2 linked regions of the Drosophila melanogaster genome follow. The protein of the gene in region 2 interacts with the protein of the main gene of each other region in a pairwise test. Each region holds a gene or a part of one and is shown on either strand. Other genes may lie near its edges.

What was found. The genes of interacting proteins can lie anywhere in the genome.
Region 1: the proteins of Cortactin (region 2) and dbo interact in a two-hybrid assay, tested with the Drosophila melanogaster proteins (one large-scale study listed by BioGRID).

Annotation. Positions count from the first base shown.
Region 1 is NT_037436.4:15,825,138-15,832,541, forward strand, and holds dbo (diablo), read left to right. Parts: upstream 1-1,750; 5' UTR 1,751-1,959; intron 1,960-2,808; 5' UTR 2,809-2,865; coding exon 2,866-2,914; intron 2,915-3,181; coding exon 3,182-3,900; intron 3,901-4,048; coding exon 4,049-4,740; intron 4,741-4,878; coding exon 4,879-5,068; intron 5,069-5,133; coding exon 5,134-5,355; 3' UTR 5,356-5,441; coding exon of another isoform or gene 5,442-5,466; 3' UTR 5,467-6,867; downstream 6,868-7,404. Other genes in the region: DCP2 (decapping protein 2), read right to left, coding at 334-442; CG12713 (uncharacterized protein), read left to right, coding at 7,391-7,404. UniProt on the Drosophila melanogaster protein: Probable substrate-specific adapter of an E3 ubiquitin-protein ligase complex which mediates the ubiquitination and subsequent proteasomal degradation of target proteins. May have a role in synapse differentiation and growth.
Region 2 is NT_033777.3:21,061,143-21,066,437, reverse strand, and holds Cortactin (cortactin), read left to right. Parts: upstream 1-1,966; 5' UTR 1,967-2,015; exon of another isoform or gene 2,016-2,074; 5' UTR 2,075-2,143; intron 2,144-2,326; exon of another isoform or gene 2,327-2,329; 5' UTR 2,330-2,373; coding exon 2,374-2,540; intron 2,541-2,608; coding exon 2,609-3,012; intron 3,013-3,103; coding exon 3,104-4,212; 3' UTR 4,213-4,758; downstream 4,759-5,295.

The DNA.
Region 1 (7,404 bases), on a different chromosome or scaffold from region 2:
CAAATGGATATATTTTGATTAAAGCCAAATACTTAAGTCCTTGTGTTTGTATTTATTTTTGTATGATTGCAATATTCTGACTATATTTTATATAGATTATGAATTGCTGGGTGGGAGATATTCTGATTGTCTAATTCGCTTTTGATTATAAAGGATTTTGAAACATAATAATCATATAATATGGATAGAACGTGAAGTTCTTTAACGAGAAAGTGTGACTCTTTCGAGCACGTACTACACTTTATGCTTTGTATTTACATATATTTTATTATTTTTATAGTTTATTATGAACCCACTGGAAGTGTACCGCTTATCATCTAGAGACCCGCCTACCGTTATCATCCTTGCTGCTACTGCCGACGCTAGCAGAGGCAGAGACGGCGGCAGAGGCAGAGGCTGTGACGACAGCGACGGCGTTATTGATCAGTGGTGCGATTTCCATAATATTTATTTAGATATCGGAGCTCCGTTTGTTTATGTAATACACTTTATTGGCTTTACTTTTTGTGTTTGTCTTTTTCGCAAAATATTTTTGTTTGTTTGTTAATTCACATTCGCGTCTCTCTCTGTCTGCACCAGTCTTTCGATACGCTTGTGTGTTTATGTGTGAGAGAGCGCAACTGTGTGTATGTGTGTGAGAGAGCGCAACTGTGTGTGGGTGTACGAATGTGAGTATGTGTGTGTAAGCGTTTTGTCACGTATTTTTACAACGGCGTTGCTTTTGTAGTAAATATGGCTGCCAAGTTTCGAAAATTTCTGCAATCGTCCGCTTTTGTCGCACGAATTTAAATTTCCAATGCAATTTTTGTACTTGTACTCTAGTTATTCCATCGGTTGCATTACATCCTTTTGCTATTGTTCTCTCGATTTTCGCTCTCTTTCCCTCAACATGTTTTGCATTTGCATTTAATTCTGTTGTTGCTATTGCTGTTTTTGTTGCTGTGTCGTCGTTTTTGTTATTGCTATAGTCGTTGTCGTTTTTGTTGTTTGTGTTCCACTCCATCCACAAAATAATTGAGTGCGCTCCACTTTGGTGCGAGGGAGACGGAAAATTCTTCGCACGCACACAGTCTCACGTTTTTCCGTTTTCTTTTCTCGCCCAGTTCACGTACTTTCCACTTTCCAATCTCAAATTATTATTTGCTCACCGAACTTTTTCGCGATCTAAATTGCCTTTATTTACACGTTGCACTTAAAATTAGCTACTATTTTGCACTATTTAACGGGCTTTTCAACTGCTCAAAACTCGCCTTCCTCTTCAGCGTCGCGTATAGAAATAGTATGAAATAAAAAATACCAGCATGCTGCTCACTAAGATACCAAAATATACCGTTTCTTTAGCGACCAGGGAAGCCAAATACAGTTGGCTCTGTGATAAATGTACTCTTACAAAGCCTGTCTTACGTTATTTGCTTATTTTTTCGGGAATATTAAAAGACAGTTTACTAATGAAAATTTTAAGAGATTATTATAATGATTTCAATAATTCACAGTTAGATTCCCTTCCGTTGCACTTACTTGTAGTTGTATACAAATAGTGTTTATTTTATTTTTAATTATTTAAAAATATGTGATCTCTTATTTTAATTTCGAAAAAAAATGTGAAGAGATATTTCAAACAGATCTCCTTAAAATTAGCTTACGTTTACGATTTAATAACAATATCGATATAACGAAATGTCCACCAAAGTATCACAATATAAATAAGTGTATTCTCAAAAATATCGATACACTGATATTGTTATGCATTTCTCACATCTCTATCGCCATACCAATCGTTTCGTGTTTCGACTTTTCCAGGCCAACCAAAAAACGATTTTTCCGTACTGAAAAGTGCAATTCGCGCAAGGAAAATCTTCGATGTGGTCCTTTTAAGCCATCAAGATTGCATTTTCGAAATTTTCCGCCTGCAGCTGGCCCTGGACGTGCTTTGTATCCGTAGAGAACAGAGACGCAAAGGTTGGGACACCAACATATACATCGAAATCTAAACCAACATCATCCGCGTGTGTGTGTGTGTGGTGTGTGCTTGTGGGTGGACCAGGTTACCTTTCAGTTTTAAGGTGTTCCATGGAGTGAATGTTGTAAAAGCGATTGAACATATATCACATGAATAAAAGAGATTTCAGTTTTAATTAAATTAGGTTGAAGATAATTCCACAAGCATATTATTGAACTAGAGAACTGTTTATCTTAACCATCGATTAACTCAACCTGCCAATTTGTTTACCAATTAAAGTACATGTTTTAATTTTAAAACTTAGCTATTTTAAGATTCAAAACAGAAGTTTCAAGTAACGATCTTTTAGCTTAAAGTTTCTAAATATTTAAGGATTATTAATATTTATTTTATATCATTTATACGAATGGTGGATTGTTAAACTTAACGTGTTGAATGAATACCTTAAATAACACTCGTATTAGTGTTAAGATGTTTCTTTAGTCGAAAGGTCCACCTTAGTATCCGCAGATCCGAAGTTGTGAATGTGTGCGTGTTACACAGCATGTCTGTGTGTGGGTGGTGCAAAAGGGCGGAGGACAAGAAAAATAAATCAGAATTTCCACATCCAGTGCCCAGAATATGAATTATTTGCATCAAAAATGTACAATTACTTAATTTATTAAGTAAACAGTCGCTTCAAGAAGATATTAAACGAAGCACAATGTCCTTGTAAATTGATTAGTTACTTACTTACTTATAATCGAGTTCAATGCCGCCCTTCTACGCCCTACCTACGCATTGATTTAATTTACTTTGACTTGACCATTAATCACTATTCTACTATATACTACCATTTCTGCCCACAGATAGACGCCGTGTGGGGTTGGGTTGCTTCCGGCCCGCTGCGCTTAGCAGCGAACAGAATGGGCGACCTGCCGGGCTCGGGCTCCACCGCTCAACCACGGGATGCTGGTAAGGATTTGATAGGAGCTTGGTTTGGAATTGGGAAGAGAGCAAGCCAGGGGCAACCTGTGTGCCTCATGTGACTTTAAATACTTCATATTTGTTCGTAAGACTATGATCTTTCAGCTAAAAAATACTATTAGAAAAGGTTTTTCCTTCATAAAAAAGTATTTGAACTCTCATTCACAATTCCAATTAATCGGTACCATTAAGTTTATTTGTACTATTCCAAACATATGGTATTTTTATACTCAAAATCATTATGTATGCCAACAGCTGTCACCGGTACCGGTGGTAATTCCACGGCTGGTGGCGGCTCCTCCGTTGGATCTACGGCAGTGGACCGACCTCCGTCGCCCGCCCGCCTCTCTCACACGTCCGAGAAACATCCGAAGGTCACGCTCACTGAACTAAATATGCTACGGCGCCATCGGGAGCTCTGCGATGTGGTGCTCAACGTGGGCGGACGGAAGATCTTTGCCCACCGGGTAATCCTGTCCGCCTGCAGCTCCTACTTCTGTGCCATGTTCACTGGCGAATTGGAGGAATCGCGCCAGACTGAGGTCACCATACGCGACATCGATGAGAATGCCATGGAGCTGCTCATCGACTTTTGTTACACCGCCCACATAATCGTCGAGGAGTCGAATGTCCAGACCCTCCTTCCCGCCGCCTGCCTGCTTCAACTGGTTGAGATTCAGGACATCTGCTGCGAGTTCCTCAAACGGCAATTGGATCCCACCAACTGCCTGGGCATACGCGCCTTTGCCGACACACACTCCTGCCGGGAACTTCTACGGATCGCCGACAAATTCACGCAGCACAACTTCCAGGAGGTGATGGAGAGCGAGGAGTTTCTGCTGCTCCCCGTCGGCCAGCTGGTGGACATCATTTGCAGCGACGAGCTAAACGTGCGCTCCGAGGAGCAGGTCTTCAACGCGGTCATGTCCTGGCTCAAGTACAATGTCGCCGAGCGGCGACAACATCTGGCACAGGTGAGCTACTGTAAACCATATCTGATTACTACTCACCGATTCCTACTTGTTCCGTTTGATAATTACTTTGGAATAATATAAACAGCTCAATTTTTAAGTATTGCAACTAATAAATAAATAATGAATTGATATTTTCGAATATTCTCAGGTGCTCCAACACGTCCGTCTGCCTCTGCTGTCGCCAAAGTTCCTGGTTGGCACGGTGGGCTCTGATCTCCTGGTGCGCAGCGACGAGGCCTGCCGGGATTTGGTGGATGAGGCTAAGAACTATCTGTTGCTTCCGCAGGAGCGACCGCTGATGCAGGGTCCACGCACCAGACCGCGAAAGCCAACTCGACGAGGCGAAGTCCTGTTCGCCGTGGGCGGTTGGTGTTCCGGCGATGCTATTGCCTCCGTGGAGCGTTTCGATCCTCAGACCAACGACTGGAAAATGGTCGCTCCCATGAGCAAACGACGCTGCGGAGTTGGCGTGGCCGTGTTAAATGATCTACTTTACGCCGTGGGCGGTCACGATGGCCAGAGCTATCTGAATAGCATCGAGCGTTATGATCCACAAACGAATCAATGGTCCTGCGACGTTGCGCCCACCACTTCCTGCCGCACCAGCGTCGGCGTGGCTGTGCTCGACGGCTTCTTGTACGCGGTGGGTGGCCAGGATGGCGTTCAATGTTTGAACCACGTGGAGCGCTACGATCCAAAAGAGAACAAATGGTCGAAAGTGGCACCGATGACAACAAGGCGACTGGGAGTGGCGGTAGCCGTGCTTGGAGGATTTCTCTACGCAATTGGCGGCTCCGATGGACAGTGCCCGTTGAACACCGTAGAGCGATATGATCCCAGGTAAATCATAAATAAAGCATTTAAAAGCTTTAGACGTACAAGTACATTTTCTATCGCTTGTAACAAATGACCTTAATGTACATTGCACTTGAACGTAGTATTTGTTTGATTTACATTGCCCCGATTTTATCATTACAGACACAACAAATGGGTAGCAGTCAGCCCGATGTCAACGCGACGCAAGCACCTGGGCTGTGCTGTGTTCAATAACTACATTTACGCCGTCGGCGGGCGAGACGATTGCATGGAGCTCTCGTCCGCCGAGCGCTACAATCCACTGACCAATACCTGGAGCCCCATCGTGGCCATGACCTCCCGCCGCAGTGGGGTGAGTTTTTGTTACACTTTTTCTCGGCGAATAGTATTGTATTAAATGAAATCGCACCATTTTAGGTTGGCCTGGCCGTCGTCAATGGACAGCTGTATGCTGTGGGCGGCTTTGATGGTTCCGCCTATTTGAAAACCATCGAGGTCTACGACCCAGAGACGAACCAATGGCGTTTGTGCGGCTGCATGAACTACCGCCGACTGGGCGGCGGCGTGGGCGTTATGCGTGCCCCTCAGACTGAGAACTATATGTGGTGCGAAAATAGTTTTAAGCAACCGAATTCCTGAAACTAACTCAACTCCCATCCCTTCCATTGCTGATGAAATGTTGTCTTGTCTCTCTTTTCCCCCCGAAAACATGCTAACAAATTCAGGATACGGAAAGATTCTGTTGTCTGATGGGAACAGCAGCCGACAACGTTGCCCTCGCAAACGTTGCCGCCGCCGCACTTCTACTAACAATATCCGCAATCGAAGCCAAATCTAATCGACTAAACAAAACATCTTTTCGCCCCATTGTCTACTAGCAGTGTAATCGCTTTGTATTAATTGTTAATTGTTTATTTGGTAGAGCCTAAAGCGCATGTTTGTTAGACTTTTCCGGAATAGTATTAGAGTTAGCATTGTTCCCACGTTCACCTGCAATAACACATCCCCATCACTCCTGTGCGTAATTATATATGATTCTACTGTATGTTAAGCAAGTATATTTTATAAATAACTTAATATCTAAATGTTGCCGGTGGTATTTCATGGAAATCGCTAGCTCATAACCATGCCTTCTTTCGAAAAAAACAAAACAAAATCAAATATTAACCTAGAAACGAATTCGATTAGTTGTAAATCCTTAAACGAAGAGCTCTAAAGTCAAGTAACAAATTGGTATTAAAATAATTTAGATTTAAGGAGTGAATTCAAGAAAGTTTGTCCGAAATTAAACATCACAATGGTGCAATATTTCGATCGACCAACTAAACGCTGTTGTTTAGTCAAGTACACTTTAAATCTTTGCAAACGTCTTCAATAATACCACGACTATATGAAGTGAACCGAATAATTGCAAAGAATTTAAAAAAATAATGAATATTCAGCCTGTCAAGCTTAAAAAAAAACCATTAAGGTAATCACACACACACACAATGAAGAAGTTAGACCTAGCCCAAGATAATTCAATAGTAACAATTAACAATTACGCAGCCGTAAGATCAACTTTAAGGTAATAAATTTTAATATTGTTAATCCTAGATCGTGTAAACCGGTAAGAGTTTTCGGCCGGAATCAGGTCAAGTTTTAAGATGACTTATTGTTAAACCAAGTTTGACCATCGAGCTGAATGAACCAACTCGAATTAATCGCTTAGATAAGGGAGTTAAAACACAAGTAGACTCTCAATAACAACACATTTTCTTTGTTGCCTTTTACACCAACACTATTAAACAATTATTTATTCAAAATTATTATTTATTACACGCTTTCGTATCTCATTTAGTTTATTTTAGGTGCACATTTATAAACTGTTGTTAAATCGAGCAAAAAGGAATGATCTTTGCTTCCAAATGATGAATAAGAATAGCATTTATAAAAAACCAAGCTTATTTATATTATAGCTTTAAGTCAAAATGGTCAACAATTATACAAAAATTCGCATACCACCCATTATGCGTAGTTAAAAAATAACATTTCCTAGTTGTGTTGAGTGGTAAAAGTGCTTAACGCAAATAATAGAAGTGTTAACCTAAGAAATGATCGTAAACCCGTGCTATGTATAAGAATATATAAAAATAAAAATATATCAAAATTAAGACACTTTGTTTCATTCAATACATTACAGCCAAGGGCGGAAATTGCTGCCAAAAAATAATTAAAAATAAATATCCAAGTGTACTATTTTGTATTATATTCTATAATTTATAAATTTGTAATGCAATCAATGTACCGTTACGCGGTACTGGTACGCATCGGTACAATAGTTACGATATTGGATCCTTTACCGATAGCCGATGCTCGAACCCGATTGTTTTTGTTTTAGGCCTTAATTCGCACACACTGATTTGGTGGCACTACACACATTTTGTTATTTTAAACATTTTTCAAGAAGTCAATATTATGATAACAATTTTATGAAAATAATTGAACTAAATGCATTCGGAACATTTCGATATACACTGCCGACCAGTGTGAACGCTTCGCGACGTGGAGAAACTTCAGGCACGTCAGCTATCGATAAATTAAAATGTGTATTCGATTAGCGTACGTTAAACAGCTGTTTATTCTGGCGCTCTTTCATACGTTCGCTGAAATAGTTTTGTATTTCTGGCCGGAAATGATGTCCCAAAT
Region 2 (5,295 bases):
TGAGAATAATGTAATCAATAATAATTGGTTAGACTCTCTAAATATTGATTGGAGTTCTCCGTAATAGTTTGACCTCAATGTAGAAAACACATTTGTGTTTGAAAACACCCTTAATTACAATTCTTTTGTTTCATTATAAAAAGTGGTTGGGGTCTGGAAAAAACAAGATTGATAGATATGCTTTAGCATAGCGTATCTGGTAATGTTGTTCTTGAAATAGACTGATGATACATTGAAATTACAGCACTCAGTGATTCACCAGATTTGTGACGTCAATTTTAAGCTCTGAGCACGACTTTAAAAAAGAGATATTATAATATAGGTGTAAAAACTGGAATAGCTCGTGACCATGTGTGAAAAACTCCATAAACAAAAGCTTTTGCCAACTTCTTTTGGAGACCTCGATGGACTGTACCTCGAAATGTTTCAAAAATGTTTTGCAAATGCACTGAGCAATTCACTTAGTAATAAACCTTGATGACACACCTATTCTACTATAATTGCACGGCCTCGAGTACACTACTACTATATTTTGTGGACGGTGGAATGTGGCCACATCCGATTCCGGTGAGTAATGCTGAGCAAGGCACAGGCGCTCATACACAGTGCTTACTGTAGTTTGAAGTGCCTGTCGGGCAATTGAAGTTGATTGAATTACTAAATTAAGCAGGGCACTGGGGGATAGAGATATTTCGAAAAATTCCGCTTCTCATTCCTACGTAAAATGGGAAAGCAAGAAAGGAACAGAAAAGTTTACTTAGATTTCGTCGGAGATGAGAAAAGTCACACGCGTCGCGAGAGAAAACGCCAAAAGAGTGGGGCTTTTGCTTTTGAGTTTGATGATGTCATCTTTCGGTTTTGAATTTTTCTCCCACCCGAGGCTTTTATTATTGAAATATAAAGTAAATAGAGAAACAAGATTCTGGAGAATTCTCGCGATACCGCACCCACAACTAGAATTCTACAAAATGCCCATTTTGGAATGGCACAAATGAAAATTATCTTTGAGTGTTTAGCACACACTTTCTTTTCTCACTTTTCCGACTGATTTTCCGCTTGATTTTTTGCGATTTCTGGCACAGCGAGAGTAAACAATGAGTTTTATCTACAAATTCCTTTTGATTTACCAATGATATTCGATTTTCAACGTACAAGTCAGACGATGCGAACTGCAAGCGATGTGAATAAATACCATAGCTGTTTGCGCTCCGTCTTTGGCTTTTATACTCGCGCTCTCTCGCTGGAAGTCGATTAGAGATGAACCAACCGGCGATAGGTTGTTGTTGCTAGGAAATATTCGGTGGTAGCGCCTAACTGGAAGCTGGTATCTTCTGCGTCGTCATAGTATACACCGTAGAATCTAAAGTGTTCCGAGATGGATGAATCATCGGCATTGGAAGCTGTTGAGACATTCATGATATTTCCGTTGTGATAATGACGACATTGGGAAAATAAGATCTGATTACGCATTGAATTTCAAAATGTAACCTTTGACTTCAATATTCAGCCGTTAGGGCAATACAGTTAAATAAATATCCTGTTCCTTCCTAAGCCGTTTTATAACTATTTTTATTTGTATTTTTATAACTATATATAAAAACCAATTACGTTAATTGTCAGCCGACATCGAAGCAAATTCAAATCCAAAACTATCGATATATCGATGATATGTTTGCGGTTATATGAAAAAAGTCAACTCTTATACCTGTTAATTACCGTTCTGGCAGAATCTTATTAATTATACAAATTACTATGGCGCCACTTGGTATAACATCAAATACCTTTTGCCCGAGCACTCAGTTCTATTGATCACGATCACATATATTGGTACTGCAGTATATATCGGTGCATTGACTTATCGAATAAAGTAAAAGAACCACGACTGTATCTCTTAATCATTTAAATTGGGCGCCCCTAAAACTGCAGCAACTACCTTTTGTCAAGCTCATCACAATAATTTATCGGCTTTTCGTAGCATATCGATGCATCCATTGTATCGAATGAAATTTAGTTCAGTTAGTTTCCCGTTTGTTGGTCTCTTTATGAATCAATTGTTTAACCCTTCTCCTCCCAGAAATTTGCAGACATCCCTAGCGGCATCAGATCATAAGTTCCTCTTGCAGTAGGAGTTAGTCATCGGGATGTGAGTATACATATGAACATAGAGCGCCAGTGGCATCTTGTTCCCGATCCGGCTTTGTCGGCCCCTCCCTTCTTCGGTGTTTTGTGACTTGTTATCTGGGCCACGAATCGGAAGCGGAGCCCCTGCAACTGAAAACCTGCCCCGACTACTCACACTCGTCATGGTGTTTATCTATCTACCCAGCAGATAAGGATAAGCGAGTAACCAGCGACCAGAAACCGGTAAAAAGAATGTGGAAGGCAAGTGCCGGTCACCAGATTCAGGCCACCAGTGCAGCCTCCGCGGAGGACGACGACTGGGAGACGGATCCGGACTTCGTGAACGATGTCAGTGAGCAGGAGCAGCGCTGGGGATCAAAGACGATCGACGGCAGCGGTCGCACAGCAGGCACCATCGAGTGAGTCATCCGAAATTCTCGAAACACTGGGTATCGGGTTCATTGTTCCCTTTCTTTATTCTTTTTAGCATGGACAAGCTGCGCGAGGAGACGGAGCAGGCCGATCTGGACAAGAAGAAGCAGCTGCTGAAGGATCAGAACGCAGGATACGGATACGGGGGCAAGTTTGGCGTTGAGAAGGACCGCATGGACAAGTCGGCTGTGGGTCATGACTACCAGGGCAAGGTGGGAAAGCACGCCTCGCAGAAGGACTACAGCGATGGTTTTGGGGGAAAGTTCGGAGTGCAAGAGGATCGCAAGGACAAGTCTGCCGTGGGCTGGGACCACGTCGAAAAGGTCGAGAAGCACGCCTCCCAGAAGGATTACGCCACCGGCTTCGGAGGCAAATTTGGAGTGCAGTCCGATCGGGTGGATAAATCCGCCGTGGGCTGGGATCACATCGAGAAGGTGGAGAAGCACGAGTCTCAGAAGGGTAAGTTACCTAACGGAAATGAATTTCTCATTGATTTTTTCTTAGTATGTTCATGTCTGATTATTTTATTTATATCTTCTCCCAACATAAGATTACTCCAAGGGCTTTGGCGGCAAGTTTGGCGTTCAGGAGGACCGAAAGGACAAGTCCGCGGTGGGATGGGACCACAAAGAGGCTCCGCAGAAGCACGCCAGCCAGGTGGACCACAAGGTCAAGCCAGTCATCGAAGGTGCCAAGCCTTCCAATTTGCGTGCCAAGTTCGAGAATCTGGCTAAAAACTCCGAGGAGGAGTCACGTAAGCGGGCCGAGGAACAGAAACGTCTCCGTGAGGCCAAGGACAAGCGGGATCGGGAGGAAGCCGCCAAGAAGACTGTGGCCGAGAACACTCCTCGTACCTCGACGGAAGCACCGCCTCCAAAGGGCAGCAGGGCGGCCATCCAGACAGGTCGGACCGGTGGCATTGGCAATGCTATCAGTGCATTTAACCAGATGCAGTCGCCTGTTTCTGAAACCCCTCCAGCACGAAAGGAACCCATTATCATTCCCAAGGCGCAGCCTGTTAAAATAGAATTAGAAGCAAAGGAGGAGCCAACGGCAAGTACAACATCAGCTGCGGTTGCTCCTACTCCGACAGTGGTCCCCGCTCGAGAGCCGGAAACAGCTCCAGTGGCCAAGGCTGCAGCTCCACCACCAGATGTGGTGCCCCAAATTGAGGTTGAGACCGTGGACACGCCTCCCAGAAGTGAGCCGCAATCACCAGTGTATGTGCCGACGCCTCAACCCGAAGTCCACGCCCAAGTCCAAGTCCAACCTGAGCCGCAACCTCAAGCCGATCCTGAGCCAGTAGTTGAAGAAGAGCCACTGTACCAGAACCAGGCCGAGATTAAGGCTGCCTCGCCCTTGCCACCAACGAATGGAACCGTTTCAGAGGCTGTTGCTCCGAGTGGCACCGCAACCGTTCCCGAGGAGGCAATCTACGCGAACTCAGACAATTTGGCCGACTATCTGGAGGACACCGGAATCCACGCCATTGCCCTGTACGACTACCAGGCGGCGGATGACGACGAGATATCCTTTGATCCAGATGACGTGATCACCCACATCGAGAAGATCGACGATGGGTGGTGGAGGGGATTGTGCAAGAACCGCTACGGACTCTTTCCAGCCAACTACGTGCAGGTGGTGGGACAGAACTCATAAAAGCTTCCAATTGAAATTCACGATAGAACAAAATCAAATTGTATTTACATACTAACGAAAACGATAATACTGATGTTGGATTATAAACCATATAAACCAATTCGCAACTAACCCAGCCCATTTCCCATCCATTGTTTACCCTCTTAACCCTCCAAATTATGTGCAACGAATGGCTAGATATTGAATTATTATTGTAATTTGTTATGCTAGCACTTAAAGTAACCGTGGTATTCCATTTTTGATATATGTATCATTTATTGCATTTTACATTCTTTGTATTTAACACATTTATTTTACCAAGAAAATATGCCAAGCTATTTTAGATATCTCTCATTTCATATTTTATGCATTAGTTATGATATTTGTGTCAAGTAACGATTTTGGTTTTTTTGAATTGTATAAAGTCTACGAGAGTTTCCCGTGTCAGGTGATCTGATCTAATGTTAAAGACGGATCTAATGTTGAAGACAGTCACAAACAAAAAGTCTGCTCTTTTGATAAAGAAATACATAATTAATAAAGTTAAATAATAACGAGTTCTCTCTTAAATTGTGGTACTGATAGTTCGGGTGTTTTTGTTTTTTTTTAAGGCCTAACAAATCATTTTACTAAGTAAAATGATTTCATTGGATACGGGAATTCACAAATTTCTATAAGAAGATAAGAACGAGCATATTGTTGGGTTCCTTCTAATATCACGAGGATATCTCTATTTTGGGGTAGAACTGTCAAGGCCTTTCTTGGATGGGCCGAATTCTTATCTGCCTGTTCCGAACGCATCGTAATCTGGCAAAGTAGAAATTGTTACATGAAACGAGCTACTGACATGATTCATGGTGCAAATGTGAGTGCATATGGGCTCAACAAAGAAAGAGTACTTTGCATTGTGGTGATTAATTAGTTAAAAAACATACATAAGTAGGATGTACGGCCATATTGTAAATTTGAGCGCCAATCCCAAAAAGACTTGATAAGATTTATCGCAATTATTGGCGACGGATCGTAATCGAAAAAAGTGTCAGACGAAATCAAAGTTTTGACTGATAAAGTTGATGTATAAATTAAACTTCAAGGAGGTATTAC